Tamandua tetradactyla: one gene and its partners. The protein of the gene in region 1 interacts with the protein of each later gene in a biochemical or structural test. Links are inferred from orthologs where the notes say so. Each region holds a gene or a part of one and is shown in the gene's direction. Other genes may lie near its edges. The genes, in order: KEAP1, AMER1 and MCM3.

Evidence for each region.
Region 2: the proteins of KEAP1 (region 1) and AMER1 form a complex in vitro, tested with the Homo sapiens proteins (2 studies listed by BioGRID). The link is inferred for Tamandua tetradactyla from reciprocal best matches to the Homo sapiens genes KEAP1 and AMER1.
Region 3: the proteins of KEAP1 (region 1) and MCM3 form a complex in vitro, tested with the Homo sapiens proteins (2 studies listed by BioGRID, with this or other methods). The link is inferred for Tamandua tetradactyla from reciprocal best matches to the Homo sapiens genes KEAP1 and MCM3.

Annotation. Positions count from the first base shown.
Region 1 is NC_135337.1:91,322,735-91,333,098, forward strand, and holds the start of KEAP1 (kelch-like ECH-associated protein 1), read left to right. Parts: upstream 1-5,985; 5' UTR 5,986-6,139; intron 6,140-6,437; exon of another isoform or gene 6,438-6,515; intron 6,516-7,024; exon of another isoform or gene 7,025-7,954; intron 7,955-8,096; 5' UTR 8,097-8,143; coding exon 8,144-8,782; intron 8,783-10,364. UniProt on the Homo sapiens protein: Substrate-specific adapter of a BCR (BTB-CUL3-RBX1) E3 ubiquitin ligase complex that regulates the response to oxidative stress by targeting NFE2L2/NRF2 for ubiquitination.
Region 2 is NC_135353.1:109,860,922-109,870,402, forward strand, and holds the start of AMER1 (APC membrane recruitment protein 1), read left to right. Parts: upstream 1-5,703; 5' UTR 5,704-6,072; intron 6,073-9,481. UniProt on the Homo sapiens protein: Regulator of the canonical Wnt signaling pathway.
Region 3 is NC_135331.1:110,768,301-110,778,485, reverse strand, and holds the start of MCM3 (DNA replication licensing factor MCM3), read left to right. Parts: upstream 1-5,502; 5' UTR 5,503-5,792; coding exon 5,793-5,870; intron 5,871-6,950; coding exon 6,951-7,063; intron 7,064-7,492; coding exon 7,493-7,701; intron 7,702-8,067; coding exon 8,068-8,198; intron 8,199-10,185. UniProt on the Homo sapiens protein: Acts as a component of the MCM2-7 complex (MCM complex) which is the replicative helicase essential for 'once per cell cycle' DNA replication initiation and elongation in eukaryotic cells.

The DNA of each region.
Region 1 (10,364 bases):
CTTCCGGGAGACTGCGGAACTGCAGGCCTCCTCGAAGATCCGGGGGGTGGGGCAGGGAGGGAGGAATCGGTTGCTTGGAGCGTGACTGACCCCAGCTGTGTGTCCGAGCCTCCTCCGGCCATGCACTTGCCGCCCTGCAGGTCACACACATGGGAATTCAACCCATTTCCTAGAACACAAACACGCTGGGGTCGCACGGTCCCAGGGCGCTCGGCCCGGGGTGGCCTCCCTGCGGCTCCTCTAATCTCCCAAGGGAACCCCGAAGCCTCCTTGCTCCCCCCGGCCCCACTGGTGGCTCGTTTGATGGTGCCAGAGGATTTATGGACTTAGTCACATTTTTCAAAATTCCCAAACCCAGTTACACTTCTCCTCCAGGGTCACTCTCCAGATCCCTGGGAACCAAACAGGGCTATTTTGTGAAATAAATGAGCCAAAATATAAACACCATCTCCTCTTTTTTTTACACGACTTGAGCATCACCCTGCATTTTGCTTTGTTCGTTCAATAGCATGTCTTGGAAAGTATTGCAATCCCCTCTCCCCTTTTGTTCTGCCTTTTCATTTAATTGAGGTTAGCTTTCAAACAGTACATGCGGTGCACTTTTTAACCGGCTGCATACTATTTCATGGCGTGGATGTGCTACCACTTATTAAACCAGCGTCCATACCGAGGGACATGGAGGGATGCGACCCATCCTTTGCAATCAGTTCACCCGGCGAGTGTGTCTTGGATAAACCCCTCCAAGTCCCACCGGGGCCTCACAGGACGTGTGGGTCTGATTATATATATATATATTTTTTCAAATATCTTCACACACCTACAGTCCATGCAAAGTATACAATCAGTGGCTCACAACATCGTCATGTAGTTGTGTATTCATTACCATGATCATTTTTAGAATATTCGAATCACTCCAGAAAAAGAAACAAAAAGAAAAAACCCATACATCCCATACCTCTTACCCCTCCCTGTCATTGACCACTATATTGCAATCTACCCCAATTGTTTTTTACCCCTTATCCCCCTATTTTTATTTATTTATTGTCCTTATTTATTTATTTTTTACTCATCTTTCCATACCCTGGATAAAGGGAGCCAGCCACAAGGTTTTCATAATATGTGGATCTGATTTGGAAGGCTGCCTGCAGTTGCCGCACAGCCTCGGGGTGTTCCCGGGCTGTGCGCCCCCTGTTGGAGAGGTCGGGAACCGCAGTTCCACGCACCGGGAGGGGCGCAACCCCACCCCCTAGCCCCAGGCGCCTGCTTAATGTCAAACCTGAGCTGAGGGTTATCCTCCAAATTCACCCCCCGGAGGCTCGCGGAATCCTTATTTAGACCTGCCTCTCTCTTCAGCCCAGCCTTTCCCAAACTTCCCTCACTTCTATGAAATGTTTCCACTCAGATGGACTGCCTTAAAAAGAAACTTAGAAATATTTATTTAAAAATTAACTTCACAGCCTAACTGGCATAAATGGCAAATCAGTATCCCTCGTGCTGGAAAACACAACAATCGTTTATATCTATTGGGTGCCAGGATAATCTAGCAGGGAGGTTATTAAGCATGGGGTCGTTTCACACGTGTTAGCCAGTTGCAGAGCTGGGATTCCAACCCGAGACAGACGAGGTCCATGCATTTTTTAAAAATTTGTTTATTTACTTCGAGAAGTTGTAGATTTACAGAAAAATCATGCAGAAAGCACAGCGTTCCTATATAACCCCCACCTCACACATACAGCTTTCCCTATTTTTTTTTCTTGTTTTTGTTTTTGATCTTATCCTTTTTTTTTTTTTAACAGCTTTTCCTGTTATCAACACTTCTCCTTAGTATGGTGAGAGAATACCATTATAATTATACTATTAACTAGAGTCTCTAGTTTACCATAGGGGTCACTGGTTGTGGTGTTCAGTCCCATGGTTCTTTGTTAAAATTGTTTATTCTGCTAACATAATATGCAACCCCAATTGTCCCCTTTCAACCACATGCAAATATTTAACTCAGTGGTGTCAGTTACTTTGACAAAGTGCTGCCATCACCACCACCCCTTACCAGAACTTCTCCACTGCCCCAAGCAGAGACTTTGTACCAATGAAACTCTAACTTTCTATTCCCCACCTCCAACCTGGTTCCTGGTACTCTTTTTCCAGTCTCTGACTCTACACATTTGCTTATTCTAGCTATTTCATATCAGTGAGATCATACAATCTTTGTCCTTTTGTCTTCTGGCTTGTTTCACTCCACATGATGTCTTCAGGGTTCACACATGTTGTCCCAAGTATCAGAACTGCATTCCTGTTTACGGCTGAATAATATTCCATTGTGTGTATATGCCACATTTAGTTTATCCATTCATCGGCTGATGGACACTTGGGTTGCTTCCATCTTTCGGACTTTGCAGATAATGCAGCTATGAACATCAATATGCAATTATGTTTGAGTCCCTTCTTTCATTTATTTTGGGTTTACACTTAGAAGTGGTATTGCCAGGTCATGCAGTAATTCTGTACATAATTTTCTAAGGAACCGCCAAACTATTTTCCACAGTGGCTGCACCACTTTACATTCCTACCAACAATGCAAAAAGGTTCCTATTTCTCTGTGTCCTCACCAGCACTTTTTAGTTTCTGTTATTTTTTTTTCAATAGTTTCCATTCTATTGGGTGTGAAATGGTGCTTCATTATGTTTTTTGTTTGGTTTTTCATGGGCAGGCACCGGGAATTGAACCCGGGTCTCTGGCATGGCAGCGAGAACTCTGCCTGCTGAGCCACCGTGGCTCACCCTCATTATGGTTTTAATTTGCATTTCCCTAGTGACTAATGATGTTCAGCATCTTTTCAAATGTTTATTGAGCATCTGTATGTCTTCTTTGGTGAAATGTCTATTCAAGTCTTTTGCCCATTTCCCCCGAGGCTTTCTTCTAGGAGTCTTGTAGTTTGGGTTCTTATGTTTAGGTCTTTGATCCATTTTGAGTTAATTTTTGCATATTAACTTCATCCCTTTACACATTCCAGCACCGTTTGTTGAAGAGTCTCCTCTTTCCCCATTGAGTGGATTTGGCATTCGTGTCAAAAATAAATTGGCCAAAGATGAGAGGGTGTTTTTTTTTCTGAACTCTCACTTCTCTCCCACTGATACACATGTCTCTCTGTGCTAGTACCATACTGTTTTGATTACTGTAGGTTTCTAATATTTTTTAGTGCAGTTTTATTGCTATATTGACACACCATACGATCCATTCAAAGTATACAACTATTTACTGGCAATATCATCACATAGTTATGCATTCATCACCACAATTTTAGAGCATTTTCATTACTCAAAAAAAAAGAAAAAGAAAATAAAAAAGAAAACCCAAAACATCCCATATCCCTTATCCCTCCCTATTATTGGCCCCTAGTATTGGAGTCAATACATTTATTGCTGCTGATGAAAGAATATTAAGATATTCTGTTAATTCTAGTCCACAGTTTGCAGTAGCTACTTTCTTTCCCCCTGTGCCACTCTATTATTAACTCCTTATAACAGTGTCACTCATTTGACCTAGTTCATGAAAGAACTTTTCAATATTTGTATTGATAATCACAATCATCGTCTACCACAGACTCATTGTATTATGTATTCCCATATTTTAACCTTCAGCTTTCTTTCTGGTGAACGACATGACCCTAAACTTCCCCTTTTCACCGCATTCCCACACTACTCTGCACCGATAATTATATTTGCGATAACATGCTACCATCAACTCTACCCATTTCCAAACATTTAAGTCCACCCTAGTTAAATATTCTGCACATTTTAAGCAACTGCTCCCTATTCTTTAGCCTCATTCTATTTCCTGGTAACCTATAGTCTAGATTCTGTGCGTAATATGTTTTAAAATTAGAAAGTATGATCCCTTCAACTTTGTTTTTCTTTGCACGATGGTTTTGCCTGTTTGGGAATCCTTAACTTTTCCAAATAAATTTTATGATTGGCTTTTCTATGTGTTCAAAGAAGGCTGTTGGAATTTGAATTGGGATTGCATTGAATCTGTAAATCACTTTGGGGAGAATTGACGTAAGATATTTAGTCTTTCAACCCATGAACACAGAGTGTCCTTCCATTTACTTAGGTCTTCTTTGATTTCTTTTTAGCAATGTTTTGTAGTTTTCCATATTTAAGTCCTTCACTAGATATTTCTTTAAGTTGCTATTGTATGTGGATTTTTTGGGTTGATTTCCTGTTCTGATTGTTCATTACCAGTATATAGAAACAGTGCTGAATTTTGCATGTTCATCTTGTATTCACCAGTTGAATCTGTTTATTAATTTGAGTAGCTTTATTGTGGACTTTTCAGGATTTTCTATGTAGAGGACCATGTCATCTGCAAATAAGTAAAGTTTTTCTTCTTCCCTTCCAATTTGGGTGCCTTTTATTTCTTTTCCTTGCCTAATTCCCCTGCTAGAACTTCCAGCCCAATGTTGGATAACAGTGGTGACAGGTGTAGCCTTGTCTTATTTCAGATCTCAGAGGGAAAGCCTTCAGTCTTTCACCAATGAGTATAATTTTAGCTGTGAGCTTTTCATATATGTCCTTTACTGTGTTGAGAAAGTTTCCTTTGATTCCTAGTATTTTAAGTGTTCTTACCAAGAGGTGCTGGATTTTGTCAAATGCTTTTTCTATATCAGTTGAAATGATCATTTGTTTTCCCTCCCTTCACTCAATTGATGCAGTGCATTCTTCAATTGATTTTTCTTAATTCAACCCCTCCTTGCATACTTGGGATAAAGCCCACGTGGTCTTGGTGTATAATTCTTTTAATGTGCTGTGGAGTCTGGTTTGCTAGTATTTTGTTGAGCCTTTCTGTATCAATATTCACAAGGGATATTGCTCTGTAACTTTTTCTCTCTCTCCTTTTTTTTAAAACCTGGCTTTGGTATGAGGGTGATGTTGGCCTCATAGAATGGATTAGGAAGTGTTCCCCCATTCAAATTTTTTAAAACTTTTTTTTGTATGTGAAAAATAACATATATACAAAAAAAAGCAATAAATGTCAAAGCACTTTGCAACAATTAGTTGTCAAACTGATTCCAGAGTTTGGTGTATGGTTTACAATTCCACCATTTTAGGTTTTTACTTCTAGCTGCTCTAACATATTGGAGACTGAAAAAAAAATCAATATAATGATTCAGCAGTCATACTCATTTGTAAAACCGACTGTTTTTGTATAAACGCCACCATCACCTTTGATCTTTCTCACTCGTTAGGGGTATTTGGGCTATGCCCATTCTAACTTTTTCATGTTGGAAGGGGCTGTCAGTAATATGGGGTAGGGAGATGGAACTAGCTGACATTCTGGAGAGGCTGGGCCTCTAGGTTTCAGGACTTATCTGGTCCAGAGACCCATCTGGAGGTTGAAGGTTTCTGGAAAGTTACTCTAGTGCATGGAACCTTTGTGGAATCTTACATAATGCCCTAGGTATTCCTTAGAATTGGCAATAATGCTTTTGGTTGGCCCCCTATTTAATTTTTTTGGAAGAGTTTGAGCAGGGCTGGCTTACTTCTTGGACTGTTTGGTAAAATTCACTTGTGAAGCCACCTGGTCTGGGCTTTTCTTTTTGGGGAGGGTGTGGATGACTGAGTTGGTCTCTTTACTCGTTATTGGTGGGTTGAGATCGTCTATTTCTTTTCCAGTCAGTGTAAGTAGTTCGGTCCGCTCTCCCTGTAAGAAGAGGTAACTAAAGAAGAAAGCCAATGAAAACCCAACCGTGTAGCTAATTCTGAGCGGATCCTGTGGCCAAGGCCCCCAGCGGGCCTACAGGAAGAGCAGGTGGTGGAGGGAAGCCTCGCGCCCAGAGGCCCTTGCCACCAAACCGGGACGATGGAAGGGACAGCGCAAAGAGGACAGGTCCCCGCCGGCCCGGCGCCCTGCACCTGCGGGAAGGGCGGGGAATCGCGGCTCCGGCCCAGGCGCGCCCTCCCCACCCTCTCCCCGCCTCCTTCCCAGGCGTCCCGAGGCCGCCCGGGAGCCCAGGCCCCCCGACGGCGGAGGTGCCCGCGGGTCCCTGACGGCGGTTGACCGGGCCGGAGCCCCCATCGGGTCCCGGAAGCGCCGCGAGCGCGTGGCACCTGCGAACTCCGGCGCCGACGCGGGGCCCGAGGTGAGCGCGGCTGCGGGGAGGGCTGCCCACGGGGGTCCCCGGTGCGGGCAGGAGAGCGCCCGGGCTTCGAACCCCGGGGCTCCGGTTCCCGAGCGCCGGAGGCCCCTGGGCGCGCAGAAGGGGCGGGCGCTGGGGCTGCGCCCGGGCGACCGCGGCCGCGGCGGGGGGTGGAGGGGGGAAGACCGAGGGTGCGGAAGGCGGGTAGCGCGCCCTGTCCGCCCCCCTCCCGGGGCTGCCCGAGGCCCGGGCCGCGGGGACTTTTATTCTGACACGCGGGCGCCCGGCTCTGCTTAGTCATGGTGACCTGCGCGCGCGCCGCGATGGAGGCGCCGGGGCCCCGGCGGCGGAGGCGGAGCCCGAGCGCGACCATGGCGGGGTGAGTGAGGCGGCCTGTGCCGGGGCCCGCGAGCCCGGCGGCCGAGCCCGGAGGTCGGGGAGCCGGCCGCCGCGGGCCGGGCGCCTCCGGGGATCCCCGCGGCCCGGGGAAGGGCCGGGAGGGCGCGGCCCGGGTGCCATCCCCTAGTTGGACGGGGCGGCCCAGGAGGGACGTAGGCGGGGGGGCCCAGGCCACGTCGCTCGCACCGAGGCCCGGGGACCTCGGGGCGCTGCTGCTGCCGCTGCCGCCGCTGCTTCTGCTGCTGCTGGCGCCGGGGCGGGGGGCTCGGTCCGCTCCCTGGGGCTGGCGGCGGGGTCACTTCCTGCCTTCTCCAGGCCTTGGCGGCGGCTCAGGCGGGGCATGCGCAGTGCCCACTTGTCGCTTCTTGGGGGCCACGGGAGCGGGGTTGCGGGGAGTTGAGCAGGAGGCGAAGAGGCAGGTCCTGGGCCTCGGCCTCAGCCGGTGGTGCCCGGGTGGAGGAGAGCCTCGGGCCGGGGCGAGGGGAGTGGGCAGCCTGCCAGCCGGCCACCCGCGTTTCCTGACCCCTGGGCAGTGCCAGACCCCAGGGGGAGGCACATGGGATGGGGTGGGGGACACAGCCTGTGACTTAACCAAGAGCTCCTGCTACAGAGATCCCTGGGGGACTGGTGGCCAGAGGGACACTTAATCCTGAAGCCAACTAGCAAAGGAGGTGCTTTCAGTTTCTGACAAGTGCAGTGATCAAAATGAAACCTCAGGAGAGGTGACTCTGAGCTGAGAAACTCTTAGGGATTGCACCCCTTTTCCTGGCCAGCAGTCCTCCCTCCAGGCTATATCTAACACTCCCATCCCTCATTGTCTACACTGCATGCAGCCCCACCTCCTCCTCCCTTGCTTCTGCTGGTCTGTTTCATTCTGCCTCTGAGCTTTTGCAGTCACTGTTCCCTCTGCCTGCAGCCCACTCCCCTTCCTGCCTTCACAGTTATTCCTACTTTACCTTTTCAGAGAAGCCTTTCCTGGAACCCCAGGTTTAAAGTAATCACCCCTCATCACTGTGTCATGAGGCCGTTTTAATGTTCTTCATAGCTTTGGGTTTTATGGTTCTTCCTCTCCGAATGTTAGCTCCATGAGAGTGCAGGGTTTTGTTTTTGTTTTGTTGGTCTCTCTTGTTCACTGATGTGTCCTCGGTGCCTAAAACACTGCCTGACATCCAGTAGGTGCTCAATAAATGTGTGACAGGTGAAGGAAGGAGAGAGCTTGGTGTGCTCGAGGCAGGGAAAGGCCACAGATGGCTGGGACAGAGGGGGCAAAGGGAAGAGGTGAGCAGGGGCTTTATGGGCAGGGCCTTGCAGGCCACTGAGGAGTTTGGTTTTATTCTGCACGCCACGGGGAGCTGTCGAATGATTCTGAGCAGGGGCTGTCGATGACCCGACCTGTGTTTTAAGACGGCCCTCCTGCTGGTGAGATTATAGAGAGCGGTTAGCAAGTGCAAATGGATGCTGCATCACCTGGTTTGCTGGGAAAGGAACCCATGCCGGGATCGCTTTAGCTTACGGAAGGAAGCCCCAGGCCCGTCCCCAACACAGTGCTCTCCCTCTCCAGGCCCCTGAGTGCCAGTGGCAGCGGTGTCCCTCGTTGCCCGGAGCTCCATGCAGCCAGAACCCGGGCCTAGCCGGGCGGGGGCCCACAGCCGATTCCTGCCCACGTGGTCACAGCGCCCCGAGGGGGCCGGGAGCGGGGTGATGTACGCCTTCACCGAGTGCAAGGCCGAAGTGACGCCCTCCCAGCACGGCAACCGCACCTTCAGCTACACCCTGGAGGACCACACCAAGCAGGCCTTCGGCATCATGAATGAGCTGCGGCTCAGCCAGCAGCTGTGCGACGTCACGCTGCAGGTCAAGTACAAGGACACGCCGGCCGCCCAGTTCATGGCCCACAAGGTGGTGCTGGCCTCGTCCAGCCCCGTCTTCAAGGCCATGTTCACCAACGGGCTGCGGGAGCAGGGCATGGAGGTGGTGTCCATCGAGGGCATCCACCCCAGCGTCATGGAGCGCCTCATCGAGTTCGCCTACACGGCGTCCATCTCCGTGGGCGAGAAGTGCGTGCTGCACGTCATGAACGGCGCTGTCATGTACCAGATTGACAGCGTCGTCCGCGCCTGCAGCGACTTCCTGGTGCAGCAGCTGGACCCCAGCAACGCCATCGGCATCGCCAACTTTGCCGAGCAGATGGGCTGTGCCGAGCTGCACCAGCGCGCCCGCGAGTACATCTACATGCACTTCGGGGAGGTGAGCACGGAGAAGCCGGGCCGTGCGGGCGCTCCGGGATGGCGGGCAGTTCCTCACGGGTCTGTGTCCCCGTCGTGTGTGCAGAGTCAGGCAGGTGGCTGCGGGGAGATGGGCTTCTGAGCTTCGGGGCCACACAGTAGGGAAAGGGCTGGGGAAAGTGAGGTTTTCATGGGTCTCTGGGGTCAAGCTGGGGACCGGGTAGGAAAGGCAGGACGGCAGCCACACTCTCCCCCCTCCCCAGCCCACCCCAGGGTGTGCCCAGCAGGACCCTTTCTTGCAGGCAGGCAGCAGAGATTTAATGAACACCCGTGAGCAGCTGCAAACTGCAAGACTGACTTTTAGGTGTGTTTTTTGGGGGGCCCATGCCGGGTCCTTCTTCTGATGGCTTATGATTTCATTTTTGTTCTTAAGTAGAGGAAGCCGTCGACAGAAAATGGCAGGAAGATTCTTGAAAAACCTCGATGATGAGACCTAATTCCTGCAAGGCAACGACAGCACTTGTGCCTTTGAGCTGATTTAAGCGTTTTTTGAGCACTTACCTGTGTGCCAGCCCCTGTTTTCAATTCAGTCATTGAATCTCGTCAGCCATCTACCTTTGCACCTGGTTAAGCAGGCTGTGGTCCAGGCTCTAAGCCTCAGGGAACCCCGGGCTTTGGGGTGCCCTCCTTGACATTTTCTAAGTTTTCTGGTGGCTGGGACTAGCTGGGGTTGAGGGTGCCCCATTCCCGTTTCTCCACTTCTGGGTGCTTTGCTTCCCTCTATGCTGCAAGTGGTTGACCAGATGCCTCAAAGAGGTCTAGCACTGACGTCTCCAGGCTCGTCCTGGGGCCTGGTGCCAGGAGGGTGACCTGGTAAGAAGGTCGCTCCCATTTGGTGTGAGTGGTGTTTCACATGGAATGGGGTACAAGAACGTGCTGACCTGCTGATTTGGGGTGACTGACGTTGTCTGTAGTCACAGGCTCCTGATAAGCCATATTTGCCCATGGACCTGCGACCCCTAGGAGTAGCCCTGCTCTAAAACAGCTATTAATACAGTCCACATTTTACAGAGTGGGGAAAACCAAAGCACAGAGAGTTTAAAATTTGTTCAAGATCACTCAACTAGAAAGTGGTGGATCCAACATTGCAACTCAGGCTGGTTTTTTCAGAGCCTGCACTTCCCCCACCTTTGCCCCCAGACTATTCTACTGCTGTTGCTTTTTCCCTCTTAACCAACCTGTACTTTAAAAACAAAAAACTTTTTTATTGTAAAAAAAATAACATATACGATGCAAAGAGAGAAAAAAGTAATAATTTTCAAAGCACGCTACAACATGTAGTTGCAGAACAAATCCCAGAGTTTGTCATGGGTACTATTCCACCATCTCAGATTTTTCCTTCTAGCTGCTCTGAAACACAGGAGGCTAGAAGGAATATTAATATAGAGATTCAGCAGCCATACTCGTAGGTTAAATCTCATTTTCTCTCGTATACCTCCTCTTTTTCCTTTAATCCTTCTCCTGATCCATAGGGATCTTTGGGAAATGCCTGTTCTGACTTTTTCATGTTGAGAAGGAGTGTCCACACTACAGCATAGGGGAAT
Region 2 (9,481 bases), on another chromosome or scaffold:
AATAGAGTAAAAAGGTTACTCTGGAGTTTGCTCTTACACAAGCTTCAGTTAGACATTGCTACCTACCATAGCTTGCCAAACCCCAAACATGACCATTCCAGCCAACCTGAAAAAACACCTAGGGCAATATATAAGATTCCACAAGGGTTCCATGCACTAGAGTAACTTTTCAGAAACCTACAACCTACAGATGGGTCCCTGGTCCAGATAAGTCCTGAAACCCAGCCCAGCCTCTCCAGAACATCAGATAGTTTCATCTCCATATGCTATATTAGTGGCAGACCCTTTCAATATGAGAAATTTAGAATTGCCATAGCCCAAACAAACCCTAAAGAGAGGGATGGAAAGACCAAAGATGATGGTGGAGTTATATGGAGAAGACAGGATTTAACGAATGAATATGAACGCTGAATCATTAAATTTTTATCTCTTTTAGTCTCCAGTATCTTAGATTAGCTAGAAGTAAACACCTAAAATCGTGAAATTGTAACCCATGTCAAACTCTGAAACATGCTCTACAACTAATTGTGGTGCTGTGCTTCGAAATTTATAGCTTTTTCGTATATATGTTATTTTTCACAAAAAATAAAGCCGATTGGGATGACAAAAAAAATATTTAAGCCTTCTAGCATCCTATATTCTGGAGCAGCTAGAAGGAAAAATAGGAGAGGATCGTATGGTAGCCCATGACAAACTCTGTTATATGTCCTATAACTACTTGTTGAAGAGTGCTTTGAAAAGTATTGTTTTTTTATTTCTTTGCTTTGTATATATGTTACATTATACAATAAAGATGTTAAAAAATAAATGAAAAAAGAAAACTGAAATGCCAGGCCTCCCTCTAACCACCACCACTAGTCAAACTTTTGGAACAAAGAGGCTGCATGCACTACCTCACAGAACATTCTCTTGACCTCCCATTGCAGTCTGGTGTACACTCCCACCCCTGCTCCAAAATGGCCTTGCCCACATCACCAGTGACTTGCTAGACCCACATTCAATGGTATTTATCTTGCTGGACCTCTGGACAGTATTTGACACATATACTCTTTTTTTAAAAAATATTTTTATTGAGAAATCTTTACACACATACAGTCCATACATGGTGTATAATGAATGACTCACAAAATTCACCACATAGTTGTGTATTCATCACCATGATAATTTTTAGGACATTTGCATCATTCTAGAAAAATAAATAAAAAGAAAAAATTCACACATTTCATTCCCCTTACCCCTCTCTCTCATTGACCACTAGTATTTCAAGCTGCCCAGTTTATTTTACACCTTATCCCCCCTATTATTTATTTAATTTTATCCATATTATTTTTGCTCATTTGTCCATACTCTGGATAAAAGAGCATCAGACACAAGGTTTTCACATTGTAAAAGCCAATCAAAGCTACTGGAACACAGTTCTACACTTTCAGGTACTTTTCTCTAGCCACTCCAATACATCTAAACTAAAACGTATATCTATATAATGCATAAGATTATCTCCAGGATAACCTTTCAACTCTGAAATCTCTCAGCCACTGAGAGACAAATGAGACAAATCTCATTTCTCTCTTCCCCCCTTTTGGTTAAGAAGGCTTTCTCAATCCCATGATGCTGGTCCTGGCTCATCCCAGGAGTTCTGTCCCATATTGCCCGGGAGATTTACACTCCTGGGAGAGCATTTGACACATACACACTTGATAATGCCATCTTTCACTCCCATGCCTTCCTTGACTTCTGTAAGAGCCAGCTCTCCTGGCTCTGGTCCACCTTGCCAATCCCTCCCTCACAGGGCTCTGTAGGCTCTTGTTTTTTACTTCTTTTTTTCACAACCTTCATCTAAGGTGCCATCACCAAGTCTTGTCACATCTATCTTCAGAATACATCCAAAATCCAATTACTTCTCACCCCTTCCATTGCCTCCATCCTGGACTGAGTCACTATCAACTATCACCTGGATCAATGTACAAATCCTCCTGTTCTCCCTGCTTTCTCCTTGTTCCTACACCCCACTCCCACCCCCAAAATATGCCTCTCCTCAGTTCAAACTCCTACAAAGTATAAAGTCTTAAAAATGGCCAATAAAGCCTTATACCATTTGTCTTCCCCCATGACCTCTCTAACCTCCTCTCCTACCACTCCCATCACTTACTATGCTCCAGCTTCACTGACTGCCTTACTGCTCTGTTACCATTCTAGCATGTTCCCACCTCAGAGCCTTTGTACTTGGTGTTTCATCTGCCTGGAATGCTCTTTCTCATGATTTGCTCCCTACGTTTCCTCAGATCTTTGCTTAAATGTCACCTTCTTTGTGAGGCATACCCCAACTGCCCTGTTTAAAACAGTAAGTTCCCACATACCCCATACTCCCTGTACCCCTTTCCTGCTCTATTTTTTCTATAACATTTATCACCATATGACATACTATGTATTTTACTTATGTATTTCGTTCAATGTGTGTTGGCCTTCGTGGAGCTTCCACCATCATAATGGGAAACACAATTTAAAAAATGATGGAAAATAATAAATAGCCATAAAAATAATTTGCTAGGAGGTGGTAAATACTATGAATAAGAAAAAAAAAATGCTGGTTAAGGACTGGAGAGTAAAGGATTGGAAGTGGGGGGATGGGGATTACTATTTTATATACCAAGTGAACAGGAAAAGTCTCACTAATAAAGTGACATTTGAGCAGAGACCTGAAGGACTGGGAGGGAGCAAACAATGCCAATATTCAGGGGGCAAACATTGTAGGCAGAGGGAATAGTGAGTTCAAAAGTGGGATTTCAGACATGTAGAACTCGTATGTCCTCAACAGAATCATTACTTTTCCTAATTTTGTTCCCATATATCTCTGCTTAGTGGATAGCAACATCATCCAGTCCCTTGCCCAAGTTTGAAACTACAAGGCACTGGTCTGATGGCTTGATTGCCTTCCCAACTAGACTGGTTGCTGTTGAGGGAAGAAGCTGTGCCTGGTTCACTATTATGGCTATGGAACCCAATTCAGGACCTGGCACAGAGGAGGTTCTCAGTGACTGGCAACATCACATTTCGTTAGTAGATATTAGACATGAAAATGAGTTGATATTAGACGTGAAAATGCTTCTTTTAGTCATTCTCCAAATACATGCCAGCACCAAATTTGTGCTAAACTCCTCATTGGGTGCTGAAGATACAGATTAAGAGACTCTCTGCCCCAGGAAACTCTGCCTGGCTCAACACAGTCAAGAGAAATCTGCATAAAAGAATCACCCCTGCTAGCCTCCCTGATCCCCTATTCTGACTAAACAAGTTGTTCATCTATTAGTGAACATGTGAGACTTGATTCTGGAGGGCTCCTGCAAGGAGGACATAACAAGGGCATTTTGAGGTACTAATGTGCACATTTGGTCTTTCCATGCATTTTCTCTGGGGAAGGTATGCTCCACTTCCCCCTGCTCTGCATTCCTTCTTCCCAACACACACATACATACACATTTCTGAGACTCAGGAACAGGAAGAAAGGTGCCCAGCTAGGAGGATTCTGTACCATTTCAAAGGTTATTTTCATTTCCCTGAAGCCCTATTTCTTTTAGGCCCAGCTTAAAAGCTTAACACTGACTAGTGTAGCAGAATGGTTGGTGGCTGGGCAGAAGGCATGGAGAATTATCTCCTGTGACAGGACCAGTGCAACAGTGCCCTCTTGCCTAGGGTTATTTGGAGCCAGCCACCTGACTATTCTACATATCTCCTCTCTCTCTGTTCCCACAACTAAAACTGCCCTGGCCCTTTGTTTCCCAGTGCTCCAAGTTTAGGAACTGCCTTCTCCAAACTGTAATCTTTGGCCTACTTCAGAGAGCCAACATTCTGGGAGAAATATGAGCAGGTGGCAGGTGGTCAGAGGTACAAGTTAGCAGGGAGGCCAATGAAGGAGGTACTGGGAAAGAAAAGCCACCTCTAGATCAGGCCCGACAAATGAGAATCAGGACTTTGCAAAGCAGGAAAGCACAGCTCCTGGGAAATGTCATAGTCTAGGCCTCCAGATGGGCAAACTGAGGTTAGAGAGAAGGGATTTGCCTAACAAAGTTACACAAGGAGCCAGCAGCAGACCCTCTCTCCTCTATTTGTTTAGACCAACAATTAGGATAGGAGGTCGGATGTCCAAATTGCTGACTTTTGTTGTGGGGAGATGTATGGAATGTCGTGGAAGGTCATGGAATATCATGGACTATTATAGAAAGAACTGAGTTGGCCTGTCAGAGATGCAAGAGATTGAGGAGCTTGATGGAGATGGGATAGATGGAATCGCCCAGAGAGGAAAAGAGACCAGCCAAGGCCATACAGGAAGTTTGAGGCAGAGCTGGGGCCAGGTCGGAGCCCCAGCAGGCATGTCAGTTCCTTTGCTCCACACATACAGGGTAGTCCTCCTCTTACCAGTTCAGTAGTTCGATCTTTTTCAAGACAAGCAACTCCCAGTAGAGCAGCAGAGAACACTCACGCGATGCAAAAAATTGGCCTTCATTGTTCTTTAATCTCTCCCTCTCTTCTCAACTTTAATCCCTCCCCTCTTTTTTTAAACTGTCATAGTTTTAAGACTGGGCCTTCTGAAAATTCTTCAACTAGTGGTAGAACTGGATTCCTTGCTGTCTCTCCTTATCTACTCCTGGCAGCCAGCCACTAATGTTACTTAATGCCCTCAGGCATAAGACCTAGCCCATGGCCACATTTCAGGCACAGAAATAGACAAGGCTAACACTGGCCTCCATACTCTGTCCTCAGCTTGACCTCCATCTGGGCCTAGGCCAGATTTTTCTCCCACTATCTAGGCTTTTCAGGGACAGGAACTTGCACAAAGTCAGGCTCACGGTTAGAGGTGTGGGGGACGTCTGGAGACCTTGGGGGATTCTCTAATGATTAGTGAAAGGTGGGAAATTTGGGTGCGGGTCAAACTCAGGGAACAGGTATCTTCCCAGAGAAGAAAAGAGAAAGCTGTCATGGACTTGGAGCCCAGTCTCTGTTTTCCAAATCTGTCGGTGTTGCTGACGGTCTGGGTGACTACGTGGAGGCGCTTTCCCTTCTCTGGGCAGCAGCAGCCAGTCGGTAATGGGTGGAGGCTGGCCTCGATGGTCCCTAAGGGCCCCCGTGTGCCTGAGAGGTGGGGGGAAGCTGGGTGAGGATACTGCAGTCGGTTTTCCTGGCAGCTGAGTCCCTCCTCTGTGAGGCCCGGGACCACAGGCCCTATGGCCTTGCCTCTACGCCTAAGGATGGGCCAGGCGAGGTGCCCAGAGGCTCTGCAGTCCCCCAGTCTCTCAGCCCCGCTTCGCCCCGTCCGCTGTTCTCTGTCAGATAAGCTGCCTGATGGTGGACAGGGAGCTGCAGCGCGAACGCACGGCGACCGCGGAAATGGGAGCGGGTGCAAAACCGAAACTGAGCTTCAAGAGTCTGGTGAGCCCTGTCTGGGCGGGACCCGCCCCGCGAGCCCACGGTGTCACAACGTTGGGATCCAAAGGCAAGGAGGCAGGAGCTGGAGCAGGAGCTGGGGAGCTCCAGCGCCAGGTTCCGCACCCTCTCAGCAACAGCCAGCACCACACCCGAGCTTATTTGCATTTAAAGAGAAACGCACCAAGAAAAACAATGGGCGTGCCAGGGCCCGCCTTCCCACCGTTGCGATTGGGCCATAGAGCCTGCCAATCAGAGCGCGGATTCCCCACCCCGTGGCTTTGGAGTCCCGGAGGAGGGGGTATGCGGGAGCACCCCAGAGTCTGGGGAAGGGGAGTCACTGCTTGGAGGTGACTGGAGCTGCGGCGACGTTGGTAGGAGCAGCGGCAGCAGCCTAGGCGACGGCGGCGGCACTCACAGCTGCGACAGCCGGGTCTAGAGCCCAGGTCAGGGCGGCGCAGCAGACAATACCCGCGCTGAGAGCTGGACTGGGTCGGCTAAGCGTTGCGCGCAGCTGAGAGCCTCCGCCTGCCTACTGCCTGGTGCAGTCCCGCGTGCTCCATTCTGGCAGCCTTGAGGAGGACACCAAGCTTTGGGCCGGTTGGCGCCCCGGGCGCTTGCTCTCTCCTTGGACCTTGTTTGGTGGACTGTCCGGTAAGCTGCAGAGCGCCAGCGAGTCCCCGGGGCCCTAGTGACTGTAGCCGCGGGAAGTGGGGGGTGGGGACAGGCGGGCGGGCTAGCTTGGGCCATGCCTCTGGGCTCTTGGGGAAGGCGGGGATGGGCCCGCCCGAGCTACCGCGAGGTCCCTAGAGGGGCGCCGCCACTTAGCACTCCCAGCCTTGCATTTGTAGGCCGGGAGCGCCGCACCTTTGTTGTAGCAGATTTGCTGGAACTGCTGACTTACCCGGGTCCCGCTAACCCGCGGCCCTGCTGCTGCCCCTCCCCACCCTTGTGCATCTCCACTCTTTCCCTCCTTTCTGCGGACGAAGCCAACGCTCTGACCAGTGCCCGATCAGGACTGACTTTGGCATGAATTGGGGGATCCACACTGTCTGCCCCCACCCTCTACTCCCCGGAGGAATTAAGTGGGCCTATGGTATGCCTAGTTCCCCTCGGAACCAAGGCCTTGCTGCTCCAACCGGCCGCGCCCCCTCCTCCCCTGCCTCCTGTCGCATCTGGCGCCTGCCCCCGCGGACAGGCGGGCTGCTGGTGGGGCTGTCGCTGGTCCTTGGCTTAGAGCTTCAGCTCAAGGTGGTCCTTGGGTTAGAGCTGCAAGGCTTTGTCTTACCCACTCGCCTTGCGTCCTCTCCCTTCGGAGGGCACTGGCAGGATTTTTCTCTTCAGCCTCCGGATTAAAAATAGCGATTGGTGTTGCGGGGGTGGGGGATTTCCGTGCCAGAGGCCGAGGGGGCAGTCGTTGTAGTAGGGGAATGCAGCGTTTGGGTGTGTGAGAGAGGCAGAAAAGCAACCAAATCCTCCAACTTTGCAGTTACTTAAAAAACCCAGCCTTCCGAACCACTGCTATTGTCTGCTGCAGACACCTTTGACACTGGTAAACCTCTAGCAGCCGGACTTTGCCTGGGCTCCCCGGGGGGCTAAAAGGGTTGTGCACGCCAGGCGATCAGGCGGCAGCCAGACTGGCCCCGCAGAGCCGCCCTCCACTTGGCCAGTCTCATCTTGGTGTGGGCTGCGGGTTCAAAAGGAGCCCCCCCACCACCAAACATCTTCCTTTGCTGTTCTGCTGGCCTGCTGCAGCCATATGAGCAGGGTGGAGTGCACAGTGCTGTTGGACTCCCTGCTACACCACCTCAGATTCCAGCAGAGCCCCAGTGCAGCTCCCCTCATTCTGCCCTACGCATTGCACAGCCACTGCACAGCGATGAGCCTCTGGCAATTGGTTCTCAAGGCCTCTCTGAGGAACACGAAGAGAGGAAACAAGCTAAGAGCTTGACAGTCTCTTCTTGGACCTTTGACCAACCTGTGAAGGTGGAGAACCCTGTCCACTGCCAGGCCCAGACAGAGCCTCAGCATTTCAGAGAAGGGGCAAGGAGACCCAGTGACTCCCTCACTTGGGGGAAGGCTAGCAGGGGACCATTTTGATACTGGCTAGGACTGCATACCACGCTGCAGTCACCAACTCCCACCTTGGCTACACCCCAACAGAAACCCCACTCACAGTGGGATATCGCCAGTCCAGGGCTGGACCTGTCCTCTGTCCTGCCTCAGGCCAGCAACTGCAAAACACATCTGCCGTATATTATTCCTCTCACAACTCCATACCCAGCAACTATCCAGATTCTCTTTCCTCTAAGGTCCTAGCTCAGGGCCCCACTTCTGCTTGGTGCTTTTTTTGCCCATCTCTTACAACCCATGATGACCTTTTCTTTCTCAGAATTCCTCCAGGGATGTCTACATCTCCTGGGCATTTGGTGGTTTGAATTTTACTAGGAGACAGACTATAACTAATTTTCCTTGCCTCTGCTTTGTTTCCTGATATCATGAATATCTGGATTTTCTCTGAATCCCTCAGAGGGGTAGATGAAACCTGGGACCTCAGCGGTAAATCCCTTAAAGGCCAGCAGTAGTTGGTAGTTAATGAATGCTCCAGAAGGACCTGCTGCCTTTGCAAACTTTCCAGAAGACCTTGACCTGTCCAATTTATGCTTGTCCCAGTTCTCATGAAAGTGACTAGATAAATGGCACTCAAGGCTCAGATTTTTATTGAGTGTAGCTAATGAGAATGGAGGAGGATGGGTTGCTACTACAAGGAAAAAAATCATGATCTATCCTTTCAACAAGAAGCTCAGGATGTAGGCCACTTAGAACCCAGACTACACCTTTATGAGCCCAGAGACAAACTGCGATGACGAGAGATGAGACCTGTGTATATAGGGGGGATCATTCTGGGAAGCTTAGAGAAAGTAGGGAGGTTTGGCTAAGCAAATGATTGAGTGACATAAACAAAATAATTCCACATCTGAATGGAAAGGGGTGGCTGACAGGCAGCCTGAAGTAAATGAGTCAAATCTGATTAAGATGGTATGGTTCTGGGGTAGAGGAGGTTGGAACCCAGGGGTCCATGTTCCCAATTGCCAGGCTGCAGAATGGGGATCTTATCCTGTGGTGAAATAGGGCATCAAAGAGTTGGGAATTGAAGGGTTTTGATATTTTTGTGTGTATAAATATGCCATGATAAAAACGGAGTTTTAGAAAGAAATTGGAAGCATGTAGCAAGTTGGACAGGTAAAAGGCCAAACCTTTGGATATTGAAACACAGATCAAGGCAAGCAGTCTCCAGAGGGAAGTTGCACCATATCAGCCTCCATTTGGGGGAAGAAGCAGGAAAAAGCCTGAAACCTAAATACCAACGTGGTGGCAACTGAGAAGTGTCCCCCAGGCCTCTACTGAATCCCTTTCCCTCAGCTGGACAGGTCTTCAATGAGCACTGATTTGGACTCCTGTGCTTACAGATATGAAACCTGAGCCCTGGAAATGAACAGGGACTTGCTTGAGGTCACACAGTTGAAGTCTCATAGCTACTTAGGGATAGGCTGCTGCTTCTTAGACAATAGCTCTTTCCAAGGTATCCCGCTATCTCCAGGGTATCCAGCAGCTCCATTCAACATAGATCTCATCAACACTCACCTCCCCCATCCCCCAAGAGTGAAGGGGACTGGGGTTTGAGGAACCCATCTGGTTGGAACCTCTCCCCTTTCGTGTCTCTTTTCCTTCTTGGTCTGCAGCCCTGTGGAAGGCTGAAAGTTTCAGAAGGAAGGGAGGTGGAAGAAATTGGCATTCTAATGATTCCCTTCTGATCTAGTGGAGGTTTAAAAATTCCTCAAGAACTGTTACATTCACACTCTGAGAAAGTGTGTGGTAGGAACAGCCTTACTCCTCTGGTCCAGAGGAATGGGGGGATGGGAAAAATGCAGAGATACTGGTAGGTAAAGGATTTGATTACAGATAAAAGGAGAAAAGAACTTCTGCCCCTTACTTACAGGTAGGCTACCTGAAGCTGGAAGAGGGTAATCCCATTGTCATTCCACAAACTAGGTGGTAAAGG
Region 3 (10,185 bases), on another chromosome or scaffold:
CTGGCTGGTTCCAGAGGCCATTTGGCATTCCATAATGTTCCTTAAATATGGAACAAAGGTTTCTGGTGGCTTTCAACATAGGCAGAATCCTAAAACAGAATCCCTGTCTATGAGGGTATCATTCCTTTAGCCAATTGAATTTCCAGCAAAGTAAATCTCTGTCAAGATATATATAGATTGATTCTATTGCAAGCTTTCGGTGGAGGTGGGGGTATTTTGGTTTGCTAAAGCTGTTGGAATGCAGTATACCAGAAATGAGTTAGCTTTTACAATGGAAACATTAGGTTATGAATTTATAGTTTTAAGGCTGTGAATATGTCCAAATTAAGGCATCAATAGGATGATGCCTTCTCTGAAGAAAGACTGCTGGCATCTGGAATGCGCTGTTGCATGGGAAGCATCTGGCTGGCGTCTATAGCTCCTTCTTTCTTTGGTTTCGTTGCTCTAAGCTCCTGGTGTCAGCGGCTTTCTCTTTCAGATTCTCCAGTTTTTGTTTCTTTTTTTCCCTCTATATGCTCCTGGGCTTTTTCTGTCTTTTATCCTCTCATAAAGGACTCCAGTAAAAGCATTAACACCCAACTTGAGTGGTCTGGGTCATGTCTCACTTGAAATAACCTAACCAAAATATTTCATCCACAATAGATCCCATAGGAATGAATGAAAAGAACATGACATTTTCTGGGGGTACACAATCCATACTACCACAGAGAGGGTTGTCTGAATTATTCCAGAATGTACAAGGTACTTCTTCCCACTTTTCTACAAACTATTCCCCTCCCAACTCTGCGCCCATCCTCAGCCCCTCTCCAACCACCACTACCACTACAACCATCAATTAACAGTACTTAGTGTTTACTATATTCCAGGCACTTTTCTCAATATTTTACATTCATTTTTACTTCATTGAATACTTAAAACCACTCCATGAGGTAGATATTATTTCTATTGTAACTTTAAGGGTAAGGAAACTGAGATACAGATACATTCACTAAATGGAATTGCCTTTACACAATTTTCAAATTTGCCATAAGCACATGGAATGTTAGAGTGGAATGGACTATGAGCAATTTTCTAATTTAACTTCCTCACCTTATATAATGGGAAACTGAAGCCCAGAGAAAATTGTGTTTAAGTCTAGCTCATTTATTGTATTATTCAAATTCTCCATTTCTTTATTGATCCTCTGTCTAGATGCTCTGTCCATTGATGAGAGTGGGGAATTGAAGTCTCCAACTATTATGGTAGATGTGTCTATTTCTCTTTTCAATGTTTGCCTCATGTATTTTGGAGGATTCTAGTTCAGTGCATAAATATTTATGATTGTTATGTCTTCTTGTTGAATTTTTCCTTTTATTAATACATAGTGTCCTTCTTTGTCTCTTTAACTGTTTTACATTTGAAGTCTAATTTGTTGGATATTAGTATAGGTACTCCTGCTCTTTTCTGATTGTTATTTGCATTAAATATCTTTTCCCGACCTTTCACTTTCAACCTATGCTTATCCTATGCTTATGTCTAAGATGCATTTCCTGTAGACATCATATAGATGGGTCCTATTTTTTAATACATTCTGCCAGTCTTTGTCTTTTGATTGGGGAGTTTAATCCATTAACATTTAGTGTTATTACTGTAAGGGCAGTACTTTCTTCTACCATTTTGCTTTTTGGATTTTATATGTTATATCTAATTTTCCTTCTTCTTACCTTTACTCATAGTCTTCCTTTCTACACTCTTCTCCACACCTCTTTCTTTTCTGTTTTCATATCTGTCTCTAGTGCCCCCTTTAGTATTTCTTGCAGAGCTGGTCTCTTGGTCACAAATTCTCTCAGTGATTTTTTGTCTGAAAATGTTTCAATTTCTCCCTCATTTTTGAAGGACAATTTTACTGGATATAGAATTGTTGGTTGGCAGTTTTTCTCTTTTTGTAATTTAAATGTATCATCCCACTGTCTTCTTGCCTCCATGGCTACTGCTGTCAAATCTACACATAGCCTTATTGGGTTTCCCTTGCATGTAATGAATTGCTTTTCTCTTGCTGCTTTCAAGATTCTTTCTTTTTGACATCTGACATCTTGATTAGTAAGTATCTTGGAGTATGTCTATTTGGATCTATTCTGTTTTGGGTATGCTGCACTTCTTGGATCTGTACTTTTAAGTCTTTCATAAGAGTTGGGAAATTTTCAGTGATAATTTCCTCCATTAGTTTTTCTCTTCTTTTTCCCTTCTCTTTTCCTTCTGGGACATCCACAACACATATATTCACATGCTTCATGTTGTCATTCAATTCTCTGAGTCCCTGCTCATATTTTTCCATTCTTTCCCCTATATTTTCTTTTGCTTGTTGGATTTTTAGATGTCCCATCTTCCAGTTCACTAATCCTATCTTCTGCCTCTTGAAATCTGACATTGTAGATTTCCATTGCTTTTGTTTATCTCTTACTGTATCTTTCATTCCCGTAAATTCTGTGATTTATTTTTTCCAGATTTTCGATTTCTTCCTTTTGTTCATTCCTTGCCTTCTTTATATCCTCTCTCAATTCACTGATTTGATTTTTGATGAGGTTTTCCATGTCTGTTTGAACATTCTGAATTGTTTCAACTCCTGTATCTCATTTGAATTGTTGGTTTGTTTCTTTGACTGGGCCATATCTTCAATTTTCCTAGCATGATTCGTTATTTTTTGCTGGCATCTAGGCATTTAATTACCTTAATTAATTTATTCTGGAGATTGTTTTCACTTTTTTTTTACCTAGGATTTTCTTGCTGGATGACTTTGTTGTCTATCTGTTCTTTGACATTCAGTTCAGCTTATTCTGGACCTCTAGCTTAGGTTTTGTTGTCAGAATTTTTCAGTTCTTATTCTCTTGTTTCTTGCCCTGCCTGTATGGTGCCTTTTTTTCTCCCCTTACTATGGTCTACTTAGGTATTATAGAGCCCAGCCAGATTTTCCCAGACCAAACTGACCTCCTGTCAGGAGGAAAGAGTCATCTTCATCAGTTTTTCCTGAGGGTGAGACCCAGCAGATTGAAAGGTTTTCCTATGAAGTCTCTGGGCTCTCTGATTTTCCTATCCTGCCCAGTACATGGCGCTTGTCTGCCTATGGGTCCCACCAGAATAAGGTGTTGCGGTATCTTTAACTTCAGCAGACTCTCCCTGCTGGGGGCGTGGTGGAGACAGAGGAGAGGTTGTAGACCGGTTTTAATCGCTTCAGTTTTCCAGACCCTGGGGTCTGAATTCCTTGAGGGAGGGATTCCATCTGAGCTGGGCCCCACCCCTCTCTTGGGGAAGGTACAGGCTCCAGACAAACACTCAAACCAGCTTAATTCTGCCTCTGCTTGGGGCAGTGGAGCCCAAGAAGCCTTGCAGCTGTATCCAAAGAGCAGTCAAACCATAGACACACAGCCACCAAAATGGAAGAGAAAATTCCTTTTCAGAGCAAGATCCCCATTCCTAGGGTTTGCCAATCAAGAGCTTAAGTTGGCACGTTGCTCTGTGTATCTCCAGGTCCCATATGCCCCCTCCTTTCCTTCAGGGCCCAGACCTTTCAAATCCAAAAACAGCTATTCTTTTTTTCTCTTTTTCTGTCAGCCCTGCCCCCTCTGAGCGGGGGCAAAAACCAGCAACCTCTGCTTTTACTCAAGGTTCAACTGAGCTGGGGGCCTATTTTTAGTAGTCAGAATTTGTGAATTAATTCCACAATTGGAATTTGGTTGTGCTCAGCCCCTGGTGCTCACAAAGTCCCTTTCCTTTCCCCTCTGGGAAGTAGCATGTGGGGGAGGGGCGCCAGCCACTGCGGTTTGGGGAACTTACGGTTCTGGGTGGCCTGGGGAACTCTCGGTTCTGGAGTGCTCACAGCCGGTCCAGCTGGTCCAGACTGGGGTACACTGTGTGTCCGGTCACTGACGTGGCCCCAGCAGTTGTTCTGTACTGTTCCTGGCTATTTATTAGCTGCTCTGGAGGACGAACTAAATCCCACACCTTGGTAAGCCGCCATCTTGGCCCCCTTCTCAAGAAAAATGTGTTTAGTATCAAAGATTTATTCTCTAGAATCCAATTCCTTTGGGCTTTCCACCACTAACGAGTTGATATTTTTGCTTCTTTGAACTAGACTGGTTCTTGGTTCTTCTGGTGTTAATTTTGAAGCTGTGTTTCCAGAGCGAAGAACATTGTATTGCCTTCAATATATTCATAAAATGACAATTATGAATAAGTCATAAAGACATTTTAAATAATAATGACCTTTTACTAGATAATGGTAAACAAGATCCTCATTGTAGAAATTTTTTTTTTCTTCTTGCCTGTTAAGCTGTTGGATGCAAAAAGCAAGCAGCCAGGCATGGCTTTTTTTTTTTTTTTTTTTGATTCAGGTTCATGTGGTTACCTGCTCACCATCCTGGAGATTTTCAAAGGTAAGTTAAAAACCAGTTGGTTGAAATTTTAACTGTAGAATTGCCAGGTGTCTTATATTGGGCAATCTGTTATTTTATTTTCCTGTGAACTTTTTGGCGCAACGGAAATGGAAATGTTGTTTATAGTGAACTGGGTCATAGTTACATACATACGTACATTGTGTAAACATTTATTGAGCTGTAAACTTAAGATCTGTGTATTCTACTGTATATAAATTATATCTGAAAAATAAAATTAACCAAACCACAAGAGAGAACAACAAAAACAAAACAAAACAAAAAAACTTTGACATTCAATTGTTATAATAATTTTACCCTCAGATTTGGTATTCTTAATCACCCATTGATATTTAACAGTGGCTTGAAATACTTGGTTTTTGTTTCTCCTTGTATTTGTTTACCTGTTAAATTAAGCTACTTAAAAGAATCTTGTGATCTTTCATAAAGTGAAAAAGCCTTTTGTGATTTACTAATTTTATCCTCTAATTTATCCTTTCACAAGTAAGATGACTGAGTAATTATGTCCAAAATTTTGTTGAATAAGACATGAGGTTTTTGCTTGGGAGCTGGAGGATATACAGAAAGTTTTTCTTCAACTCCACCCTTCTTGACGGCCTAGCATGATTATGGGGTACTTCAGGTATCGGTAATCTGATCAAAAACAGGTATAAACTAAATAACATTTCTCTGAGATGCTATGATTCTATTTTCCATTTCACAGATTCTTAAAAACACACTGCTTCCCGCCTCCCGCCCCAGATACTACTTGAGGGATGTTGCATCTGAAACATATCTAGCATACTTAATTTGTATACATTTTTAAAAGGATTTGCTTTTATGTTTTTCACCCTCCTGCATTTTAACCGCCCGTTTTCTGGCTATTCTCAACGAAAGACCCACAGAGTAGACCAAATCCATGGTTACATTGGATCACTCTGCGGCAAGCCAAGGTACCGCAGCCTGCAAAGAACCTCCTGAACATCCGGAAAGATAAAACTACGACTCCCAGAATGCAGCGCACCCCGCCTCTCCGGCTGCCCAATTACTAGGCTCCGTGGGCTCTCTCTTCATCCCATTGGCCAGCTCTCCCGGCGGGGAAGCGGGGCGGGGAGGGGAGAAATATAGAGAGTCCCGGATGGCGTATTTCCCGCCACCGCGAGGCGCTGCGTGGAAAGCCGGGAGAAGAAAAGCTGCCGATTGGATATTCGGTGTTCCGGTTTACGAGGAAGCAGCTAATTAGAGTGCGTATTTCACCCAGAGTCTCCGCCCCTTCCTCGAGGTACTCTTTGGTGGCGGGAAAAGCTCGGAAGTTTTCGTGCCGCCGCGGAGTCTACCAAGGGTCCTACACGCGGCTCTAGGGTAGGCGATTCCGAGGCAGCGAGCATGGCCGGGACTGTCGTGCTTGACGATGTGGAGCTGCGGGAGGCGCAGAGAGATTACCTGGACTTCTTGGATGATGAGGTGAGGAAGGTGAGGGAGGTGCGGGCGCTCGAGGCCCTGGTGTTCGGACCCCCGGGGACGGCGGGCGGGCTGAATGGTCGCGCGGGATGCCGCTCTTTCCGAAGCAGCGACAGAGCCCGGCAGCGAGAGGCCGGTCAGTTCTCCCTACTCTGACTGGCTGACTCGCTTTGCCGACGGCCGGCTGAGGAGCCTTCCGCCCGAACGTGTAACTCCTCGCTGTGAAATCAGTTGCTAATTGCCTCTCTCTAGTTGAATCTTTAGAGAGCCGTCTGGTAACTTTCTCCCCAATACAAGTAATAGTCAGGTCTCGCAAATGGCGACAGGCTTCCTTCAAGTGCAAACAAAATGTCAGCGTCCCCCTGGCCTTTTCGAAATTACGTCCTGCTCTTTTTGGGGGACAGGGTGGGAGAGGGAATATAGGTGAGAATCCATGGTGTTCGTCAACGTCTTACCACTGGGAGGAAAAGACCTTTCTAATTTGGCCGCATTCTTTTTCAGTTCCCAGTAACATGAAGATTAGGGGGTTTTGTATGCCACCCAAGATGTAAAACTATAGAATGTTGAAAGGTTGATGCTTTATCTGTAAACAAATGTCACCTTCTTCAGGCCTTCCTTTAGGTCCAGATATGAGAATTCTATATTATTACATACAAGATTGGGAAATGAAATACTTTGATTATATACGTAATTTTTAGATAAAAAGGCATTTTAATATATATTAAAAGTTCATTTACTTTACATTTTAATAAGGTTTTTATTTATTCTTTTAGTCTTCGTTTGAGCTCATTTTAATTCCCCACTAAAGCATACAGAAATATTTAATAAGTTGTTGTTGATATTAGGAATAATAGCATGGACCGTTATCCTTGAGAAAATTGTTATAATTCCTATAGTGTTGCAAATAGGCATTTTTGGAATCTGAGGCCAGGAATGAAAATGGGAGAAATTGATGAATGGATACTGGGGTTCAGCACTGCCTCAGAAATTGACTTGCTTATCTCGCTATGACAACTACCTTTGTTTTAAAATATCTTATTTTTACATTTGTGGTTGTGCTGATGTGTGGTGACTATTTTGCAGGAAGACCAGGGAGTTTATCAGGGCAAAGTTCGGGAGCTGATCAGTGACAACCACTACCGGCTGATTGTTAATGTGAATGACCTGCGTAGGAAAAATGAGAAGAGGGCTAATCGGTAAGTGGCAGGGGAATCGCAGGAAGATAACCCTCTTCCCCATGTCTGAACATGTCTCCCTTCCCAGGAGAGGACCCAGATGAAAAGTGATTGACTTAGGAGCCCTCATAGCCTCACCTGCTCCTATATTGTTGTTGTTTCTTCTTTCAAATGTAGGTGGTAACTATTTTCCTCTCATGTGCATCTCCTTCCAATGTTTAACTAGGTATCATTTCTACATCTTTGACAAGTTGAAACAAACATGACCCTTAGTTCTAATGTTATTATACTGAGTCTTGTAGGATGACAAGAGAAAGTAAGAACTGGATTTCCACTCCTTGGTCTTGACTTGGTCTTGATGGTCCAAGAATGTCCAATTCCTTTTCCAGGGTCACCTTTTTGGAGTTCTGTCCTCTCTGCCTAATTACTCTTTTTTTTGCCCATATGCAGCCTCCTGAGCAATGCCTTTGAGGAGCTGGTTGCCTTCCAGCGGGCCTTAAAGGATTTTGTGGCCTCCATTGATGCTACCTATGCCAAGCAGTATGAGGAATTCTACATAGGATTGGAGGGAAGCTTTGGCTCTAAGCATGTCTCTCCCCGTACTCTCACCTCCTGCTTCCTCAGCTGTGTTGTCTGTGTAGAGGGCATTGTCACTAAATGTGAGTGGGTTAAAGTGGGGACTGAGGGAATGCTATACTTCACAGGGCTGGAAAAGCCAAAAAAGGCAAAGTAAAACTGGGTAGCTTGTGGCTTCAGAAAGGTGAATGATTGAGATTATGGGTGAAATTTGGAGGAGTTCAGAGTGCGCATAGTGATTAGGGTGGAATCAGTTGTACTTAACATTTTACATAGATATGGTGATGTTCTAGATATAAATGCGAAAATGAGTATATGATAGGTAGTATCGAAAAAACTTAAACTAGTCAGAACCCAGTATTTGTAGTCATTGTAGGCTTGCCTGTGTTCATATTACATCTCTATCATTGTCTAATTGGATGATTTTAAATGCATGTTTCTCTTCCTAGGCTCTCTAGTTCGTCCCAAAGTGGTCCGCAGTGTCCACTACTGTCCTGCTACCAAGAAGACTATAGAACGGCGTTATTCTGACCTCACTACCCTGGTGGCCTTTCCATCCAGTTCTGTCTATCCCACTAAAGTGAGTGGAATGAATCAATAGGGCTTCTTTGGGGGTTGAAATCAGAAGTGCTTGCTAGCATACGAGTAATTGGGTAACATCTGAAATCTTGTAGAAGTAGATGAAGTGAATAAATAGTAAGGATTAATCCAAAGAAAAAGTTAATTATTGGCCAGAGTTTAATATGGAAAATTCATAATTCTTATATTTTAAAAAAGAATAAATATTTATTTTAAAAGATTGGGGAAATTGTGGAAGAGTTATAAGAAGGGAGAAAAATAATTCATTCTGCATAGATCTTTTAAAAAAAATTAAAATCTTATGTATCTCTTGTAATATGCTTTAAACTGAACATAGGAAAATACTTATAATATTACTATAAAATCTTTGCACATGTCATTTTACTGCATATATAATAGTCTGTCACACAACAAATATACCACTTTGTTAAGGTTGAATTCTACAGCCACTTTAGGTTATAGAAATCCCATTAATCTTGATGTTGGTTTTAGGAGCAGTTTGCTAGTTTGAGAGAAAGCTGGCATAGGAAAGCGTTCTTTTCTTAGATCAGTCTGAATTGAGGAAAATGCAAGGCCTTCTTACTTAATTAAACAAAAGAAAATATTTAATATAGATTACCTCATGTCTGAACTCATCCTATCAAAGAATGCTCCCCCCCATCAATTTTTAGTTGTGAGCTAGTGTATCCAAAATATTGCTAGTCTCTAAGAAGGACACAGATGTAAGTAAAACACAGTCCTTGTCTTCTGGCTTACCTTATATGTCTTGTAGCTTGATCCATAAGAGCAGTGGTGAGGGGTGGAATCACCAAATGCCCATCAAATGGAGACTCATTAAGTAAATTACTATAAATTCATGCAATGGGATGAAGACCAGACTGTTGTTTACAACAGCTGCAGCAGCAAAAAAAGGCAAAGCTGAGCAAACTCCAAATAAGATAAATCTAAAATATTATACCTTGGTATATCGTGATCATGCTGAAAAACAAAGGTAAAGAGAAAACAAAGATGGAGGAATCTAATATACAAATAACTAAAAGAATAATCTTGGAATTTTAACTGAAATATACTCTAACAGTCATTTAGACTACCTCCAAATGAAATGCTGAGAGATTTGGTGAGGTTAAGTGATTTGCTTGTGGTTCTAGTTAATGAGAGCCCTAAGAACTAGGACCTGTGTCACTTTACTTCAGGCTGGTTCTATGTGCTAAGACATCTTGCGCTCTTCTTCATTATGGTCTCCACTTTAACTTCTAAAACTTATCCAGGTACCCATATTTGGGCTAGAGAGTACTTGTTTTTGCTGATCACTGTGGCCAATCTTTGCTTGAGACCTAAAATACGTTACAGCAGATTTCTTGGAGGTAGTCTAGTATAGTGCTTAAGAGCCAAAGGCTTTTGAGTTATACCTGGTTCAAGTCCTGGCTCTGCTTCTTGTAGTGTGACCTTAGGGAATTTATTTAACTTCTTTCCTAGCCTGTTTCCCTATTTGTGAAATGTAAAAAATATCTGCTTTACAGAGTTGTTGGGATAATTACATTAGATTCATGAAATAATAACACAATAACTGATACAGTAGTAAGCACTCCATAAGAGATAGCTGTTTTTTTTTTTTAAATTCAAATGGCAGGGATGCAAAACTTTAAAATGGTTTTTATTGAAATTTATTATGCATACAGGAAAGTTCATATAATTGTACAGCTCTATGAATTTTCACAACCTGAATACACAGCATCTAAACTAGACTCTTGAGCTCCCACATTACCTAGTGGTAACCACTATGCTGACTTTTTTTTTTAACACTTTATTTTTTTTAAATTTATTTTTTATTATCAAACCAAAACAACATACAAACTTGAACATTCTTAACATACAAACATATTTCGTACATAGTGTACAATCAGTGGTTCACTATTTCATCACATAGTAGTTTTCTTTTCACCGTGATCATTTTTAGAACATTTGTATCACTCCAGAAAAAGAAAGAA